Linked DNA regions of Coturnix japonica. The protein of the gene in region 1 purifies or fractionates together with the protein of each later gene. This does not show direct contact. Links are inferred from orthologs where the notes say so. Each region holds a gene or a part of one and is shown on either strand. Other genes may lie near its edges. The genes, in order: LSM1 and PATL1.

What was found.
Region 2: the proteins of LSM1 (region 1) and PATL1 purify together in Homo sapiens (co-immunoprecipitation; 3 studies listed by BioGRID and IntAct, with this or other methods). This does not show direct contact. The link is inferred for Coturnix japonica from reciprocal best matches to the Homo sapiens genes LSM1 and PATL1.

Annotation. Positions count from the first base shown.
Region 1 is NC_029537.1:3,644,644-3,648,272, forward strand, and holds LSM1 (U6 snRNA-associated Sm-like protein LSm1), read right to left. Parts: upstream 2,202-3,629; coding exon 2,156-2,201; intron 2,017-2,155; coding exon 1,948-2,016; intron 1,393-1,947; coding exon 1,277-1,392; intron 1,207-1,276; coding exon 1,036-1,206; 3' UTR 791-1,035; downstream 1-790. Other genes in the region: BAG4 (BAG family molecular chaperone regulator 4), read left to right, coding at 2,200-2,421, 2,499-2,579, 2,791-3,024, 3,342-3,566. UniProt on the Homo sapiens protein: Plays a role in the degradation of histone mRNAs, the only eukaryotic mRNAs that are not polyadenylated. Probably also part of an LSm subunits-containing complex involved in the general process of mRNA degradation.
Region 2 is NC_029520.1:202,510-206,986, forward strand, and holds the start of PATL1 (protein PAT1 homolog 1), read right to left. Parts: upstream 2,974-4,477; 5' UTR 2,918-2,973; coding exon 2,903-2,917; intron 2,610-2,902; coding exon 2,498-2,609; intron 2,421-2,497; coding exon 2,131-2,420; intron 1,521-2,130; coding exon 1,326-1,520; intron 1,236-1,325; coding exon 1,134-1,235; intron 1,033-1,133; coding exon 943-1,032; intron 847-942; coding exon 638-846; intron 570-637; coding exon 486-569; intron 330-485; coding exon 146-329; intron 1-145. Other genes in the region: syntaxin-3-like, read left to right, coding at 3,912-3,941. UniProt on the Homo sapiens protein: RNA-binding protein involved in deadenylation-dependent decapping of mRNAs, leading to the degradation of mRNAs. Acts as a scaffold protein that connects deadenylation and decapping machinery.

The DNA.
Region 1 (3,629 bases):
AGAACCACCCCTTCAGCTCCAGGGCGCCCCAGTTCCAGGGACACAGCAGAACTTCAGGACACCTATAAAACTGAGGTGTCCCTCATTGGTTCCACAGCGTCACATCAGCACCTCCTCAGGTGTCCCACACCACCACCATGCCCAGGGACTGCAAGAAAGGGGGGGTCCCAGCCCTACCAGCCTCACTGCACACCCTCCTTACTCACCCAGGGACCTCACATCCCCTTTGACATTCAGCCCTCCCAATGCACTGCTATTGCTCACAGTGCCCTGAGCCCAGGAGAGGCCACAGCAGGGGGGGCTGAATCCATGTCCCCTCCATGTGCAGGGACCTCAGGGTGCCCCCCAGCCTCCCCCACTGCCCCAAGGCTGCTTTGATGCTATTTGGAGAGCAGAGATAAACACACAGCCCCCCCCCCACACACACACACACACAACAGGGGGCAGGCAATAAGATAACACAGGCACTGCCCAGGCTGTAAGGCAGGAACTGACACCAATAGGAGCCCCATAATATCAGAGAACACATGGTAATGAAAGACCCCAAACTCTGCTTTTTCCTGCCTTACCTACAAGTGCTGAAGTCTGCAGCACCCAGTTCAGCTCAACCCACTCAGTTCCTACCTACCTGCCTCACACATGTGATGCTCCATCAACTCAGCAGGTAATTAACTAATTAGGGGGCAAACAGCTGCACCTGAGTGAACAGAGCTGAACTGGGCCCAGCACCTGAGGTCATGGAGAGTCCCATTGTGCCCATAACCACACAGAGCCCAAACACAAGCCAAGCTGTTGCTGTTGAGATCAGGGGTTTATTTACAGGTGAAGGGAAGCTCTCACTCAGCTCCAGGCGAGGAGCCAAAAGAAACAAACCAAAAAGGAACAGAGACCTTCATCTCTGAACAGAAATTGCTGCACCCCCCGGAGCATCCAGTTACCTCCGAGGGTTCCCCATTGCCATCACTCCTTTTTTCCCCTCAAGGGGGAACAGAAGCCATGATTTCAGTGCCTGCACCACTCAGCATTGCCATCCCATCAGTACTCATCCAACGTGTCAGCCCTGGGCACCGCCAGGCCTCTCTCCTTCAACGCCTGCACCTTCAGCTTCTCCGACTCCTGCTTGGCTTGCAGCTCCAACCTTTGCTCCTCCAGGATCTCCTCGATGGAAACCTGCTGCAGCAACGTGTCGCTCTCCTTCTCCAGGTCCTGCAAAGCAAAGAGCTGTTGTTAAGCAGAGCTGCAGGGTGAGGGGCTGCAGGGCACGGGGCTCACTCACAATCTCCCCCAGCAGCACCACGTTCTCCCCTCTCACAACGAAGATCCCTCGAGGGATGTCCCCATATTTCTTGCCCACGTGAATTCGCTCCACTGTCTGATGCAGCACCAGGTTGGCTGTGGGGATAGAGAAAAAAACACCCCGTTTTTAACCAGTTTTTTACCAAAACCACCCAGTTTTTCACCAAACAGAGCACCTCACCTGAAACAACCCATAGCCTAAAGCATAGGGAGCAGCTGGATTGCATTATAGCACTATAATCCTATATGCTGAGCATCCCCTAAACAACATGATCCCCCAAACCCAGCCACTATAGGACCCCAAAGCAGCCACTACCTATAGCTGATAAAGGGATCCCTGGTGCTATAGGGTAAAGAATGAGGGGCTCAGCTATAGGCACAAGTGAATGGGGAAGGGGGGAAAGGGGGGTAGGGAGAAGAGGGGTAAAGGGAGGTAAAGACTGGGGGGCTCAGCCATAGGCACAAGTCAATGGGGGGATGAACTTAGTGCTGCCCTAAGGGGGGAATATAACATGGGGTGGGGGTCCAACATGACAAGGGATGGGGGAACCACAAACTGGGTTCCTATCGGAGCCATATGGGTTCTATTAAGCCCTGATCCGGTGTCGTTCCCGGTGCTGCCCCCCCTATCCCCCCCCATTATATCCGTACCGAACTGATCGATGCTGCGTAGGAATCCGATCAGCGTCCGGCCGTCCCGCAGCAGAACCAGGTGTTTCTCTATGGGGAAAGGGATCAAGCGGGGGTACGGAACATCGGTCCCAATGGGAACCAAGGGGAAAACCGGGGTCCCCCGCGTCCGGGTCCCGGTTTTCCCCTTGGTTCCTTATTGAATGAATAGAACCTCGGTCACACTCACTGTCAATGTCCTGGATGAGGCTTGCAGTACCCGGCATGTAGTTCATGGTGGCGGAACCGCCCCACGTTGGGCGGTACTTAGCGATGCACTGTCCCTTTAAAAGCGGCGCCGGTAGTGCGAGCGGGGCTGCCTTTCATTGGTTACATCCAGGGGTCCTCGCATCCTATTGGTCGCATGGTGGGGGCCTTTTATCCTTGTGTCGCGCTGTGGGGTGGGCTACAGCGTGCCGGGTTGAAAACATGGAGCACCGCGGTCGTACCGGGCAGGTAAAGGGGGGGGGGGAACCGAGCACAGCCCGTTATCCCGTTATCACTGCTCCATATAATGGGGTTTTTCCTTATAGGAGCCACCAGGCCCCGGCTTCAACCCCGGTTATTGGAGCCCAGCGTTCGGTTTTGGGGCCTACACCGACGGAGCGGACTCGGTATGTTGGGTTTGGGGGATGAGGGTCCATTTCCATCCCCCTCCCGTCCATTAAGGCTTTGACCGAGCTGTGCTTCATTTCTATGCCATAGGATACAATGGGCTTCAAGCCCCACTTGTTTCCTACAGCTCAGTACAGAAATAACCCATTAAATATCCTAACACACATTTCAGCTCATTTTCTTTCTCTTTTTCCCTTTTCTCCTCCCCAGGCTATGGACTCACCCTACACCAACGGATCCTACAGCGCCCCATACCCTCCCCATTACACCTCACTGCCACAAACACGAACCTACAGCACTTCAGGTCCATCCTACAGCACCGACAGCTCAGCCCCATATCGACCCCCCCCTCCTGCCCCTCCCTGGGGCTGTGGCACACAGGACTGCCCAGCAGAGGGATGCTCAATGCGCAGGCAAAAGGCTGCTGGGTATTCCCCACCGCAGGTAAGAAACCATTTAGGGTGTGCACAGCAAAGCGAGAGCTCCTGTGCTGCTCACCCCATAGAGGGTGAACCCACAGTGCACCCTAATTGGGCCCAAATGGCTTCTATGTCCCACCCAGCTCGCCCTGCTTGCTCTTGTAAGAACTTGGAGTTGCCCCTTTCTGCTGGGAGCTCTGAGGTCACGAGCTTTGGAGCAGAAAGCAGCAGCAGTCCCAGTGCTGGGGCTCATCCCAGTGCTGGGGCTCATCCCAGAGCTTCCTTCTGCCACAGGCATTGGGAGCTGACTTAGGACTTACATCTGTCCCCCTCTCCCCACAGACCCCAGGGATGCCCGTTCCTCAGTATCCATATGGAGACCACAGCCCCGGGGCCAACCCACAGCCCAGGGCTCAGGAGGAGGCGTGGGCTCCCCCTCACTATGGGGTGCAGGCACGGTATGCATGGCCTGCAGCTCCAGCACATGGGAATCCATTCCTCTCTGAATCACAACCACCCTGGACTGGCAGCAGGACTGCAGCTCATCCTCCTGTGTGGGACTCGAAGGTACAGTGATGCTTTAATGGCTCTGACACAAAGATTCTGGCTGTAGCCAGAGCTCAGCTCATG
Region 2 (4,477 bases), on another chromosome or scaffold:
ACAGCAGTGCTTCAAGAGCACTCCATCCCAGTACCCACAGAGACAGCAACATCTTCTCCGATGCTCCTCAGCCCTCCCTTTCTCAAGGCAGGGTGTGACGGCTCTTCCCTCCCACTGGCCCCACCCCTGCCCTCCCTCCCAATACCTGATAGTAGTAGTCGTCCAAGTAGGGATCGGTGCTCTGCAGCTGCATCATCTGGATCTTAGACACCCAGTCCTTCTCCCGCTGCAGCATGAGGTTGGCGTAGGGGTCCTTGCGCACCTGCTCCTGGTGGCTGCCCCGGTGGCCCCCTCGGTCCCCCACCGAGCCGTTGAGGCCACGGTGCTGGCTGGCAGGAGGCAAGAAGGGCACCCATGAACACACAGGAGCTACAGGAAGGGACAGAGAGTGGTGCACAGGCTACCCCCGGCTGCATGGGCCCCCCAGAACAGCCGGCACCGGAGCATCGCCCACCTCCTCACGCTCCCTCCCGCCCAGTGCTCACTTTCTGTTCTGCTGCTGCCGCTGGTGCAGGAGCCGGCGGTGCTGGGGGTGCAGGTGGGTGGTGTCCAGTCGGAAGGGCTGCGGCCTGTGGGGAGCACAGGGGGTTAGAGGGCCGTGGGGCAGGTGAATGATCATGAGGGGGTCAGTGCCTACCTCAGGCCCTGCAGGTGAGGCATGGGGCCCGGCGGAGGCTGCGGTTGTGAGGGCGGAGTGGGGCCAGCCCCGAAGAAGGCACGAAAGCCACCAGTGGGAGCCATCATCTGCCCCACTCTGCCCTGCAGCAGCTTGGGGTTGACGGAGGGTAGTGGGCTCCCAACAAGGCCTGAGACTCGAGCAAACTGGCTAGGAGAAATTCGGCCAGCCTGTGGGGCAGAGGGAGTGCGGATCAGGCAGGGTCCATCAGAATGCTGGACCCTCGCCCCTATGGGCCTTGGGGGGCACAGAGTCTAGGGCTTTACCTGTGCACCTCCCAGCAGCTGTGCCCGCTGCAGGTGGGTGAGAACGGGAGAGACACTGGTAGGGAACGGGTGGCCCAGCAAGGAAGAGTTCTGCAGGAAAATAAAGGAGCAGACCCCTTGGTCACAGTCCTCCTAGGCAGTATGATGCAGTCGGGGCATCAGAGGGTTATGGGGGTGGGAGCAGGGGGTACCGGTACGTTGCAGAGCTGGTTGGGGGACATCCTCTCGCCGTAGGGAGCAGAGTAGCGCTGCTGCATGGTAGCCCGGATGTGGACAGGCTTTGGACACAGGATCTGAGAGAAGGAAAGCAGTGGGGGTCTGACCGCTGGATCCTCACCAGGGGTGCAGGGGTCTGCACCTGCTGTGAGGAGTTGGGGCCATACCTGCTGGTTAAAATTGGGCATGGTGGCCTGCTTGGGTGGGGTGCCGATGGGGACTGCTCGCACGGGGGGGCTCCCGATGATGGGGGAGGATGAGCGGCGTGGCAGTGCCCGTTCCGAGGGGTCCCGCTCCTCCTCCCGAGCCTGTGGGGGTCTCTGGGGCAGAGCGTAGTCCAGCACGGACAACGATGGCATCTCCTGAAAGTAAAAGTGGCCCTGTGAAAAAGACTCAGAGCTGGACGTGGTGGCAAGGTGCACTGAATATGACGTGGTATAGAACAGAGGAGCCGCCCCATTGCGCTTTCCCAGTGCTGGAGATCCCCACGCCCCAGCCAGGGTTCTCAGAGAGCCCTAAGGATCCTGCGCCCAGCTCTTAATTAAGCCTGACTCTCTGTCAACCAGCAATGAAAACAATTATGGCTCGAGGCACTGACGATCCCAAATCTTGAGTGCTGACACCATCAGGGATTGCGTGGCATCTCCCAGCCCAGAGGGAGCATGTGCAGGGACTAGAAGTGATGTCCAAGAGCAGCTCACCCAACAGCCACAGAATATCCCAAGCTGGGAGGGGCCCACAGGACCACTGAGTCCAACCCCCGGCCCCACATAGGAACGCCCCAAACACAAACCTACATCTGAGGGCATTGCCCCAACACTCCTCGAGCTCTGGTAGTGTGGGGCAGTGCCTGCTTCTCCGGGAAGCCTTCTCCACACCTACAGCCACTGTGGTGAAGAACCTCTTCCTAACACTCAACCCTCCCCCATTCCTGCAACCCTTCGTTGCGTGTGCCCAGCGTTGTGCCCCTACCTGTGTGAGCAGTGGCGTGCGGATGCGCTGCAGCACAGAGGGGCCATCCCAGATGCTGGTGTTGAGCGTCACGCTCTGTGCAGCAGACCCACGGGTGTGCACGGCTCTCATGATGGCAGGGTCCTCCAGCTCGCTCTCGATCACCAGCCGTGTCAGTCGCTCCGCCAGCGCATCCTCAGGTTCCCCCAGCAGCTCCGCATCCTCACTGCTGGGTTGGGCCTGCTGCCCTGAGCCCACGGGTTTCTCCTCCAGCTCAGCCAACCGCTCGTGGGCCTCCTGCCAGTCATCATCTGCACGGGAACGGCGGGCTGAGCGCAGCGGCAGAGAGCACCGGGTGGGCAGTGTGGACAAGAGACAGAGAACTCACCGACAGCCCCGGCCCCAAAGGTGTCATCGTTGAACTGATCGATGTCCTCATCCTCCTCGCCCAGCACCTGGAAGCCGTCCTCCTCCTCGTCCAGCGGGCACTCCTCCAGGGACTGCAGCGGCAGACGGTGCCTTCGTACCACCACGACTACCGAACCGGCGCTGCCACCGAGGCCAAGGCCCAGCCCTGCCCGGCAGCCCCGGTCCCGAGCAGCGGTCCCAGCACAGCGCCCACACCGACTCTCGGCCCTGAGCCCACAGCCTCGACCCTCAGCCCGACCCGCGGCCCCACGGCCCTGACCCTGAGCCCGTAGCCGCGGCCCCGAACCCAACTCGGAGTCCCGAGCTCCGACCCCCGCGGCCCGACCCCGCCCCCTCAGCCCCCTCAGCCCCTCCCCCCGCTCACCGGGTACCGGAACATGGCGGCGGCGGCGGCGCCCCCCGCCCGCAGGCTCCGCGCGGCCCGCTACGGCCCCGCCGCGCATGCGCCGCCGCGGGCGCACGCGCATGACGTCACCTCCTCCGCCCGTCCGTGCGGTGCGCATGCGCAAATGAGCTCCGCCCAGCCGAAGGCTCACAGAGCGCCGCGCCCCACTGCGGGCGGCTCTTAAAGGGACAGGCCGCCTTTTTCTGACCGCCTCCGTGCACTCGTGCGCCGTCGTGCCCCGGCCGCGCGCTGCTGCCCCAGCCGTGCCCCACACGCCAGCCACGGCTCAGCGATGTCCGCTGGGTCTTTCCCTCCAGTCGTGTCCCCCAGCCTGTGTCCCCCCACGCGGGACCCCTGCCCACGGACACGTCCCCCAGCTCACGTCCCCTAACCGTGGCCGTTCTCCCAAGTTCGAGCCCCCTATACACGGCCACGTCCCCCCAACCTGCATCCCATAGTTCATGTGCTCTACCCACGGCCATGTCCCCCGCTTCATGTCCCCTAACCATGGCCACAGCCCCGGCCCGTGTCCCCTACTGTGAGCCACATCTCCAACCCGTGCCTCCCATCCATGGCCACGTCCCACGGCCCGCGTCCTTCACCCTCAGCCACATCCCCACCTTGTGTCCCCCCGCCCGTTCCCTCCACCCATAGCCGTGTCCCCACTTCGTGTCCCAACACTCCCATCCCTTATCCATGTCCCTGTCCTCCAACCCACATCCCACCACTCACATCCCCTACCCATGGCCGTGTCCCCCTGTCCCTCACCACCCCCTGTCCCCCATCCTGTGCCGGGGCCACCTGTAGGCTGTGGTGACACTGCTGTCACTGGCACCTTTGTCACCCCCCCTCGGGTGCCTGGATCACACGTGGCTGGTGCGGGCAGCCCCGCCTCAGCCTTGCCCTCGTCGAGTGCCCATCAGCGGGGATTAGCGGGGCTGATGTAGGACGGCAGCGGGCGGGCGGCGAGTCCTGGCAGCCCGGCACCATGCGGGACCGGCTGGAGCAGCTCCGGGCGGTGAGGGGTGCAGGGCAGCAATGGGGGTCACCCGTGGGGGTACCCAATGATGGGTGCTGCCCTACGGCTGGAGGGGACCGGGGGTTTGAGCCCTGGGAGGGTTTGGGTTGGCTGCGTCCTCGCTATGGGGCGCAGGAAGGGATGTGGGACACGCGTGGGGCCCCCTGTCCTCCTTTAGGGTTCTTGGGGTGCTCCTCACGCTGCGCTGCCCCGCGGCCTCCGTGCTGCCCGTGGGGGATTTAGCGGGGATTAAGGGAGGCGCTGCCCACCATCGGGGGGGAGCGGGGGATTAGTGTTATTTTTACCCCAGAAATGGGAGGGGTGGGGGTGGCCGGGGCACGACACCGCGGTCATGGCAAGGGGGGATGCGGGGCAGAGGGGAGCTCGCGTGGAGCCGCCGTGGGGTGAAATTGGGGGCCACAAAGCCCCACGATGGAGCGCCCCATCCCTGTCCCCATCCCCGCCCACGGCCCAGCCCCGCAATCCGTTAATTCCCGCTGGCCAGATGCGAGCAGATGGCACCCGGCCGGCCCCCC